Linked DNA regions of Coturnix japonica. The protein of the gene in region 2 purifies or fractionates together with the protein of the main gene of each other region. This does not show direct contact. Links are inferred from orthologs where the notes say so. Each region holds a gene or a part of one and is shown on either strand. Other genes may lie near its edges.

The links. The genes of interacting proteins can lie anywhere in the genome.
Region 1: the proteins of NOP56 (region 2) and RPS2 purify together in Homo sapiens (affinity purification with mass spectrometry; 3 studies listed by BioGRID and IntAct, with this or other methods). This does not show direct contact. The link is inferred for Coturnix japonica from reciprocal best matches to the Homo sapiens genes NOP56 and RPS2.

What each region holds. Positions count from the first base shown.
Region 1 is NC_029529.1:6,100,611-6,106,523, forward strand, and holds RPS2 (40S ribosomal protein S2), read right to left. Parts: upstream 3,570-5,913; 5' UTR 3,544-3,569; coding exon 3,388-3,543; intron 3,267-3,387; coding exon 3,177-3,266; intron 2,951-3,176; coding exon 2,843-2,950; intron 2,590-2,842; coding exon 2,416-2,589; intron 2,337-2,415; coding exon 2,177-2,336; intron 1,865-2,176; coding exon 1,773-1,864; intron 1,679-1,772; coding exon 1,598-1,678; 3' UTR 1,554-1,597; downstream 1-1,553. Other genes in the region: NDUFB10 (NADH dehydrogenase [ubiquinone] 1 beta subcomplex subunit 10), read left to right, coding at 443-582, 912-1,012; TBL3 (transducin beta-like protein 3), read left to right, coding at 4,986-5,026, 5,122-5,173, 5,258-5,353, 5,591-5,638.
Region 2 is NW_015439533.1:243,937-248,108, reverse strand, and holds the end of NOP56 (nucleolar protein 56), read left to right. Parts: intron 1-219; coding exon 220-320; intron 321-608; coding exon 609-757; intron 758-851; exon of another isoform or gene 852-922; intron 923-1,016; coding exon 1,017-1,138; intron 1,139-1,209; exon of another isoform or gene 1,210-1,277; intron 1,278-1,351; coding exon 1,352-1,486; intron 1,487-1,700; coding exon 1,701-1,931; 3' UTR 1,932-2,327; downstream 2,328-4,172. UniProt on the Homo sapiens protein: Involved in the early to middle stages of 60S ribosomal subunit biogenesis. Required for the biogenesis of box C/D snoRNAs such U3, U8 and U14 snoRNAs. Part of the small subunit (SSU) processome, first precursor of the small eukaryotic ribosomal subunit.

The DNA of each region.
Region 1 (5,913 bases), on a different chromosome or scaffold from region 2:
CACTAAGATGGTGAAGGCCCTGGAGCATCTCCCCTATGAGGAAGACTTAGGGAACTGGGTCTGTTTAGCCTTGAGAAAAGAAGGCTGAGAGGGGACTTGATCCAGGTTTATAAATACCTGAGGTGTGGGAGCCATAGTGGTGAGGCTGGTCTCTTTTCAGTAGTACGTGGGGACAGGACTAGGGGTAATGGGATGAAAGTACAGCATAGGAAGTTCTGCACGAATGTGCCAAAGAACTTCTTTACAGTGAGGGTGACGGAGCACTGGAACAGGCTGCACAGGGAGGTGGTGGAGTCTCCTTCTCTGGAGATATTTAAGACCCACCTGGACGCCGAGCTGTGTGATGTGGTGTAGGAGCCTGCTTTGGCAGGAGGTTGGACTCGATGATCTCTGGAGGTCCCTTCCAACCCCTACAATTCTGTGATTCCCGTCTCCCACACAGGTTGGTGGATCAGCAGATCGTGGAGATAATCCGGGAAAGGCTCGGTGCGTGCAAGCACAGGGAAGGACCAAACCAGTTTCAGAACTGCGCTAAGGAGGCGGAGCTGCTTGCACAGGTCACCAAAGCCTATCAGGAGAGATGTGAGTACAGCAGCCTTCACATCTACTATAGCTGTGACAGCACACGGGGAAAGAAGAGCTCAAAGATCTCATCTTTGTGCTAAAATTCCCTCTTGGCAGACACTGCAGATCTGGGCTCAGATGTGCTGGACCCACTAAGCCCAGGCAATGACATTTCAATAAGCACAGTACAAAGGCATTTGATGCTCTCGCAGTACCCAAAGCTGAGTGCATTTCAGCACTGCAGCTTGCACTGCCCTGAGTGCCAGACTTCACCTGGCTCAGATCTAGTTCCTCCTAGCAGCTGAGTGTTACTTTTCAGACACCCCCATGATTACTTTTCCTTTTAGATGGTGATCTTGGTGTCCATGGAAATGCCAGGAAGTGTCTGATGAAGCAGAAGCACAGGATGATAGAAGAAATGAAGGCAAAAGAAAACGCGTCTCAGTAGATCCGGTTATGGAATTAATTAGCACCTCCCTCATTGGTGCTTCTCTCAAATCCTTGTGTTACACCTGTGAACTGTGATGTTCTATAATAAACTTGCAAACCCAAACATCTGCCGTACCATCCATTAGCACAGACTCATTCTTTGCAGAGGTATGTAAAAGAATCTTAGAATTCTTCCTTTTCCAGCTCTGCATTCCAGTTGGCTGCTACCACCCTCTGAACAAAGTCAGCTCCAGGCACCCATATATATGAGCTGTGGAACCCTGGGGGTGTCCCTGCTGGATTTCTCCACTACCACAAATCATTAGGGAGCACCCTCAGAGTAAATGTGCTGTGAAAGGAGTATAAAGGCACATTATATTCCCCTCTTTTTAGTTACAAACCCCGCTCAGGATTTAATACCTGATTAACAAGGGTTAGTGTAAAACATTCTATTCTACCCAGCAGATGTTCAGGCTGCTTCCCACAGATCTGAGCCTACTTAGATCCCAAGCACAGATGTAACCGATCTGCCCAACGCACAAAGCATCCAATCAAACCAATTTCTTGTCCACTGTCCACTTTATTGTCTTGTACAAAAACCACTTTAAGTAGTTGCCACAGCAGCTGCCTGGGTTCTCTGCACTGAGACTCTGGTGTGGGTCTTAGCCAGATGATCAGTGAACTCCTGGATAGAAAGAAAAACAGCATTTCATTTATGTACACCACTGTCATAACCTTCTCAGCATCGTAACCCACTGAAGGAAGAGCTGCATGTTTACCTGGTAAGGAGATTTGGTGAATACAGTCTCTTTCCAGAGGTCAGGAGTCAGGTAACTGTATGTCTTGGAGATGGCATCGAAGGTGGCCTTAGCTATGGAAACAAGTTAAACATTGCACGTCACTGTTAGAGAAATGAGCTCCTGTACACACTTACACAGCTCCAGAAGTGTAGAATTTCAGAGGGAACAGAGAGACCAGAAGAGGATCCCTGTGTTATACTCTTAAAATTCAGTTTCCTTTCTCTCTCCATATACGACAGTTACACTACTTCACAAAAGTGCAACCGCGCAGATTGGGAGATGAGGAGCTTCCAATTTAACACGGGTTTAAGTTACTTCCCTTTCAGTAATGAAAACAGCAACACACACAGAGCTGAACTACAACACAATAACCTCACACTTACCAAAGTTGCCCAGCGTGGCAGTGCAGCCCCTGGCTGATGTATAACAGTCATCAATTCCAGCCATCATCAGCAGCTTCTTAGGAACAGGGGCAGACACGATGCCTGTACCTCGAGGTGCTGGGATCAGACGCACCAGGACAGACCCACAGCGCCCAGTAACCTACAAACACAACAGGTTACAGCTTCCACAGCACACACACAACGTGACTCACATGCAATGCACAGCGAGATGCTCTTACCTTGCAAGGCACAGTGTGAGGTTTGCCGATCTTGTTCCCCCAGTATCCTCGTCTCACCGGGACGATGGATAATTTAGCCAAAATGATGGCCCCGCGAATAGCTGTAGCTACTTCTTTAGAGCATTTAACGCCCAGACCAACGTGGCCGTTGTAGTCTCCGATAGCAACAAAAGCCTAAAATCAAAGGGAAGCTTTCAACCGAGGTTTTGCCATACAGGAGAGCTCTCTCAGCACAACAACTCAGCAGGATCTCATCACAGATAACCAGAAGCACATACTAATATTTAACAGCTACAGCACACTACAATGAAGCAGCTATTAAGTAGCTCCTACAACTTATGAAGTTACAGAGTCTGGTAGGGTGATGCAATGGGCTGCACAGAGAGGCTGTGGATGTCCCTGAAGAATAAAGACATAACAAAATTACCTTAAACCTGGTACGTTGACCAGCACGAGTCTGTTTCTGGACAGGCATGATCTTCAACACCTCATCTTTTAGAGAAGACCCCAAGAAGAAATCGATGATCTCTGACTCCTGTAAGATTCAACCATTTAATCACACATTGCTAAGCTGCAATATCCAAATAACACAGAAAAAACACACAAATCTCGCTGCTCTTATCTACAAACCGGAGTAAAATCAATAGCAAAGTGGCTCAACTTGAGCTTTGTAAGTAATAAATAAGGCAACTAATGCCAGCTTTACAGTTCAGATCCTGCTACAAGCTGCTCACCAGCTCCGAGCATCCCCAGCATCTCACCTTGATGGGAAGGGAGAAGAGATAGATCTCCTCCAGAGACTTGATCTTCATATCCTTCACCAGGCGACCGAGTTTGGTGACAGGAATCCACTACAAAAGAAAGCAGTAAACAACAAAGGGCTTTTACAGCAGCTCCTATGGGGTGGGGGGGCTGTATGGCAGCACTACAGGGCACAGCCCGACATAACCCTGCCCTGCTGCTTCCACTTACTTCCTTATCCTCCGCTTTGCCCCCTCGGGCTCCCCGTCCTCTCCCTCGGCCCCTTCCACGGCCTCGCCCGCGGCCCCTCAGCCCGGTCCCGAAGCCGCCCCTGAATCCCCCTCGGGCGGCTCCTGCTCCTCCCGCAGCACCGGCGTCGTCCGCCATTTGCTGTATAGAAAGAGGTGAATTAGTCAGAACATCGCCACCATCAGGTCGAAATAACCACACGGCGAGGCCGCAAAGCCCGGCCGGGATCCATCCGGAGAGGTACGGCCGGCCCCGAGCCGCAGGAGGCGCCGATGGGCGCGGATGGAGCGGAGGCCGCACGCAGACGCCATTCCATCGCCCGCCATACTTACGTGTTTCAATAGTAGAAGGCCGCCACTTACCGCCGGTAGGTATTTATACCCAGGAAGTTCTCGCGAGAACACCTCTCTGAAGTGTCAACCCCGCGCGCTGAATGCGGAATACACTACAGCGCAAAGGGGGCGCGATCTGCTTACTTATACAGAGTGCGGGGCGGGAGGGCCGGGCGGAAGCTGTGCGCATGCGCCGAGCTTACGCATGCGTAGGCTCAGAATATAAAGCTGCGCACACGTGGAGCTGCGCTCCAATGAGCTCGGACGTAAGTGAGTGGGGTTGTTTGCGTGGGGGTGGGTGGGCGCAGCTCGTTCGGTTCTATTTGATTCTCTTGGCTTTTGGCGGCGTTTAGAGCTGTTCAGGCTTTGTTGAGGGCCTGGCTGTAGGCAGTGCTGATTGCAACACTGGGGGCCCTGGGTTCGAATCCCCTGTGGCGCAGGTGGTAGAAGTGCCGCTCTGCTACACAGAGGCTCGAATCCCGGGGGTTGGACTCGATGATCTCTAAGGTCCCTTCCAACCCGCACGATACTGTGATACTATGATAGGGGGTGGGTACTGAATGAGGGGCCTTTGGCACGGTCTGAAAATCACCTTTGGTCTCCCGTGGCCTCCGGTGAGATAACGGTGCCGACAGCAAAGGGAGCAGCAGAGCGTATCGCCCACGGTGACGGTGTGTGGGCAGTGAAACCCGTGTTCCCATAACGGCAATGAGGGGCGGCTGGGGCGGCATTGTAGGGTGATGTGGGCTGTGTGTGAGCACCGTGTGTGAGCTCCGAGTCTTCCTGCAGGTGGAACAGCCCGGCTGGGATCCTCCATGTGAAGATAGGACCAAAAGCACCTTCATGTGAAGGGCGGATGATGATTTAGGGTTGGAATACTAAGAAAATGTGCGGGATGTGGATAAAAGAACGCTCGTACCAACGGAGCGGAGTGCTTTCAATAAAGATTGACTCGTTTGAACGCTTATTCGAGTCCTGTTGTGCTTTCTTACAGTCCACAAGCCCTGTGTGGGGTCTGAAGGGTGTGGGATGGTGCTGTTAAACAGCCAGGACGGGCAGGAGGCTGCTCCATCCGCCGTCCATTCGTTAACATCCATTCATTAACCACAACACACACACAGAAGCAGCTCCGTACCACGTGACACTGAGGGAGGGCGCTTCCTTACTCTGCTCTTACGTCATCAGAGTGCGCCGGAAGTCCCGCCCTTTAAAACCCGGAAGTGGCCTGCACGCGGAGCGGGGGGTGTCATGGCGGCTGCGGCGGGCAGCGCGGTGCGATTCAAGAGCAAGTGAGCGGGGCTGGGGCTGGGGCGAGCGGCCGAGCTGCGCTGTCTTCGCTTTAACGATCTCATTTCCTTTCTATTTCTTTAATTCCCCCTTTCAGTTATGCTGTGTCGAGGAAAATCGAGCCGTTCTACAAAGGAGGCCGGGTTCAGGTAATGGCCGCTTACAGCCGGGCTCTAGAAGGGGCTGGGCCGCCCCCACGCTCCGCTCTCACCTCCCCATCCTTTGATTCCTAGTTGAGCCGCGATGGGAAGTTCATGTTCTGCCCCTGCGGGACCAAGTTGAACGTGATCGATGTGGAAACGGGAGCTGTGCTGCACAGCCTCGAGCAGGTGAGGGAGCCAGGGAGCCTTAAGCACAGCTCCATGGGATGCGGTTGTGACTGGGGTGTTTTGAAGCCCTCAGGAGTGGAAATAGAGGGGGCTGAGAGCTGCAGACCTGGCTGGTGTTTGCATTGTCTGTCATTGTGGGTCTGTGGGTTAGTAGGAGCTGTGGCAAGGGAAGGCTTGAGAGCACGCCTAAGCAACACAGAGATGAGTAACTGTGGTTTTCTTTTATTGTTTTTCAAGGATGACCAGGAGGACATCACTTCGTTTGTACTCAGCACTGATGGTGAAGTACGTGTATGGCTCTGTTATACTCTGTGTTTTCCTTTCTTGGGCCTCTTGATAAAGCCAGCAAAGACTGAGGAGTGTCCTGCCTTGAAATGTCCCCAGGGAAATCTTGGAGTCTCTCATCTCTTCTGGCTTCAAGTCAGATATAGGAAGTACTGTTATCTTGTTTTACTGTTATTAACAACAAAGATGCATCCAGGGATAGGAATCCATTTTAATCTATTCTGTATACACACAGAGAATGTATTAGTTGACGTTCCATTTAAATCCAGAGTTGG
Region 2 (4,172 bases):
TTTCCCTCCCTGCCCCCCCCCAGGCTGTGGAGGTGATGTCTGAGTGAATCTGTCAATCCACTGAGCCCTTGTGCTGACACCCCTCACTGCTGATCCCAGCCTGGCACCGTGTGCTGCTGCTCCCCCCATGGCTGCAGTGCTGTGGGGGCAGCCATAACCCCGTATATAACCCCGTGTCTAACCCCATTAACCCTGTATCTAACCCCTGTCCCCTCACAGGTGGGCGCCCGCCTCATCTCCCACGCCGGCAGCCTGACCAACCTGGCCAAGTACCCGGCCTCGACGGTGCAGATCCTGGGGGCGGAGAAGGCCCTGTTCAGGTACCGCTGCGGGGTGGTTGCAGTGATGGCGGCTCCCTGGGCCGCTGGCAGTGACGCACCGGGCAGCTCCGGCCTCGGTTGTGTGTGAGCTGCCAGCCCCAGCCCCTGAGCGACCACTGCGGCTCAGCAGCTCGTGCCCGCTGTGCTCGGCGAGGTCAGAGGGATGGGAGCGGGTGGGCGGCGTCCCCTGGGCGTTGCTGGGGGTTGGAGGGGGGAAGTGGGGGATAGCGGCTCCCATCTGGGGCACATCAGCCCCGGGCCGCCCTGACGGCTGGTTGGGCTTCTCAGGGCTCTGAAGACCCGCGGGAACACCCCCAAGTACGGCCTCATCTTCCACTCCACCTTCATCGGGCGCGCGGCCGCCAAGAACAAAGGGCGCATCTCCCGCTACCTGGCCAACAAGTGCACCATCGCATCCCGCATCGACTGCTTCTCAGGTGGGGGGGATGGGGGTGGGACGGGGCAGGGGATGGGGATGGGGGTGGGATGGGGAATGGGGGGTGGGATGGGATGGGGCAGGGGATGCGGCCTCTGCTGTGATGGGAAGATTTTTCGTCAACAGCATTTCACACAGTGAATGTTGATACGTCTGGGCTGAGCAGGGCGCTGCTGGGGGGCGCTGGGTGCTGGGCTGGGTGTGAGGAGGGGAGGGCTGCTGGGTGCAAGGAGAGCTGCTGAGCACGGCTGTCCCTGCAGAGGTTCCCACCAGCGTCTTTGGGGACAAACTGAGGGAGCAGGTGGAGGAACGGCTGGCGTTCTATGAGACCGGGGAGCCGCCCCGCAAGAACCTGGAGGTGATGAAGGAGGCCATGGTGGAGGTGAGGCTGTGGTGGAGGTGGGGCTGTGGTGGAGGTGGGGACGTGGGGGGGACGTGGGGCTGCTGGGCTGTTGGACATGATGTGAAGTTCCCACCTGACTCACTGTGGAGGCAAAAAGCTGATTTAATGAGGCTGATCCAACAGCTCTGGTGGAGGTTGGGGGGGGTTGTGTGGAGTCTGGCCCTGCACCCATTGCTCCTCTGCTCCCCGCAGGCCAGCGAGGTGGTGGCTGAGGTGAAAAGGAAGCAGGAAAAGAAGGAGAAGAAGAGGAGGAAGCGGGAGAAGCGGCGCCTGGAGGCTCTGGCTGCGGCAGCCGAGGAGCTGGAGAACTCGGTGCAGGACGTGGAGGTGAGGGGGAGGTTCTGAGTGTCCTGGGGGGGGGTTGGGGTGACCCCACTGCACTATGGTCACATCCAGGCTGCCCAGCAGTGGCTGCTGCTCCTGCCCTGGGGCTGGGGGTGCCCCAATGTGGGGGATGCCCCGTTGTGGGGGCTGCTGGGTTACATGGAACCAGCTGGTCTCTGTGCTCCGTGGGCTGCCCTCACCATGTGCCTTCCATTAGGAAAATAACATAGAGCCAAAGAAAAAGAAAAAGAAGAAGAAGGAGCAGGAGGAGGAAGAGGAGGAGGAGGAGGAGGCTGCTACCGAGCCAGAGCAGAATGGGCTGCAGGAGGAGGAGGAGGAAGAGGAGGAGGCCTTGCCCAAGAAGAAAAGGAAACTGATGGGAGATGGCACCCCAATGGAGAAGAAGAAGAAAAAGAAGAAGGTCAAGGATGAGGAGGAGCTGAGCTGAGCCGGGCTGCAACCCTGCACTGTGGACTCGGGGCTGCTGGGGGCAGCTGCAGCCCATCATCCAACCATCCATCCAGGCCCTGGGGGCCCAGCGCTGCAGCTCCGGGCGTTGGACTCTGGGCTCTGCCTCAATGGGGCTCTGCCTCCTTTGGCCCCATGGCTCCTGCGCTGCTGTGCTTCCTGCCTTCAGTCTCAGCCCCCGGGAGCGGCTGGTGCCAGGAACTGCCCCGTGTGACTGAGCCTCGGCAAATAAAGGGCTGGGGTCTCAATGAGCCTCGGTGAATAAAGGGCTGGGGTCTCAATGAGCCTCGGCAAATAAAGGGCTGGGGTCTCAATGAGCCTCGGCAAATAAAGGGCTGGGGTCTCAATGAGCCTCAGTCAATAAAGGGCTGCGGTTGCTCCTCCTGCTTTTTCCTCACGGCTCCTCATGGCTGCAGCCCCCCAGCGCTGCGCTGTGCCCGGTGCCCCGCTGTGTTATAACCGGTGCCCCATTGTTTCCCGGTACTGGAGCCGTATCCCGCTGTTACCGGGGGGGCTCAGGGCGCTGCATTGCGGGCAGGGACCGTCACGTTGCAGAGTCGCACTTTATTAGAGGGAAGCAATAAATTACCGGGCAGGTCGCGGGGCCCAGAGGGCGGGGATGGGCCCTACACGTCCAGGGACCCGATCACAGCCTGGGTGAAATCCATGGACGTGGCGTATCCACCCATGTCCGCTGTGCGAACCTGCAACGAAACGCAGCGTCAGTGACGGAAACCGCCCGGCGGCCGCTGCGTCCGGGGCTGGGGCCGGTCGGACGTTGCCGTGTCCTGGGCCGGGGTCGCTCCGGCCGTTGCTGTGTCCCGGTGTTGGCGGCTGCTCCGGCCGCTGTTGGTGCCGCTGTGCCCCGATGGCCGCAGCTCCCAGCCCGGCATTAGGAAGAGCCGCTGCTCCCAGGGCAGCGGGGCCGTGTCCCGCCGTGTCCCGCCGTGTCCCCGCCGCAGCCCGGCTCAGTCCCTGCCCGTTGCCGGGTCCCCGCGGTGCAGCCGGAGGCGGCGCTGTGCGGGATGCGGGGCTGGTTGGGGGCGGGGGGAGCGTTGGGGCCTTTATTCGCTCGCACAACACGAAGCGCCGTTAGTTGAACGTCCGGCCGCTCGCTCCGGGCCGGGCTCAAACCACGAGCTGCCGCAGCCGCGACCCCCCGCCCGGCCCGCAGCGCCCCGGGGCCGAGCGAGCACGGAGCAGCACGCAGCCATGCACACCATGCACACCATGCACACGGATGGCAGCACGGAGCCATGCACACCATGCACACGGACGGCAGCACGCAGCCATGCACACCATGCACACGGACGGCAGCACGCAGCCATGCACACCATGCACACGGATGGCAGCATGGAGCCATGCACGCCATGCACGCCATGCACACGGACGGCAGCACGCAGCCATGCACACCATGCATACAGATGGCAGCACGGAGCCATGCACACCATGCACGCCATGCACACGGATGGCAGCACGGAGCCATGCACACCATGCACACGGACGGCAGCACGCAGCCATGCACGCCATGCACACGGACGGCAGCACGCAGCCATGCACGCCATGCACACGGATGGCAGCACGGAGCCATGCACACCATGCACGCCATGCACACGGACGGCAGCACGGAGCCATGCACGCCATGCACACCATGCACACGGATGGCAGCACAGAGCATGCACACCATGCACACCAGCACACGGACGGCAGCACGCAGCCATGCACGCCATGCACGCCATGCACACGGAGGCAGCACGGAGCCAATGCACACCATGCACGCCATGCACACGGACGGCAGCACGGAGCCATGCACGACCATCACACCATGCACACGGATGGCAGCACGGAAGCCATGCACGCCATGCACACGGATGGCAGCACGGAAGCCATGCACGCCATGCACAACGGACGGCAGCACGGAGCCATGCACGCCATGCACACCATGCACACGGATGGCAGCACGGAGCCATGCACGCCATGCACGCCATGCACACGGATGGCAGCACGGAGCCATGCACGCCATGCACACGGATGACAGCACGGAGCCATGCACGCCATGCACACCATGCACACGGACGGCAGCACGGAGCCATGCACGCCATGCACACGGATGACAGCACGGAGCCATGCACCACCATGACACCATGCACCACGGACGGGCAGCACGGAGCCATGCACGCCATGCACACCATGCACACGGATGGCAGCACGGAGCCATGCA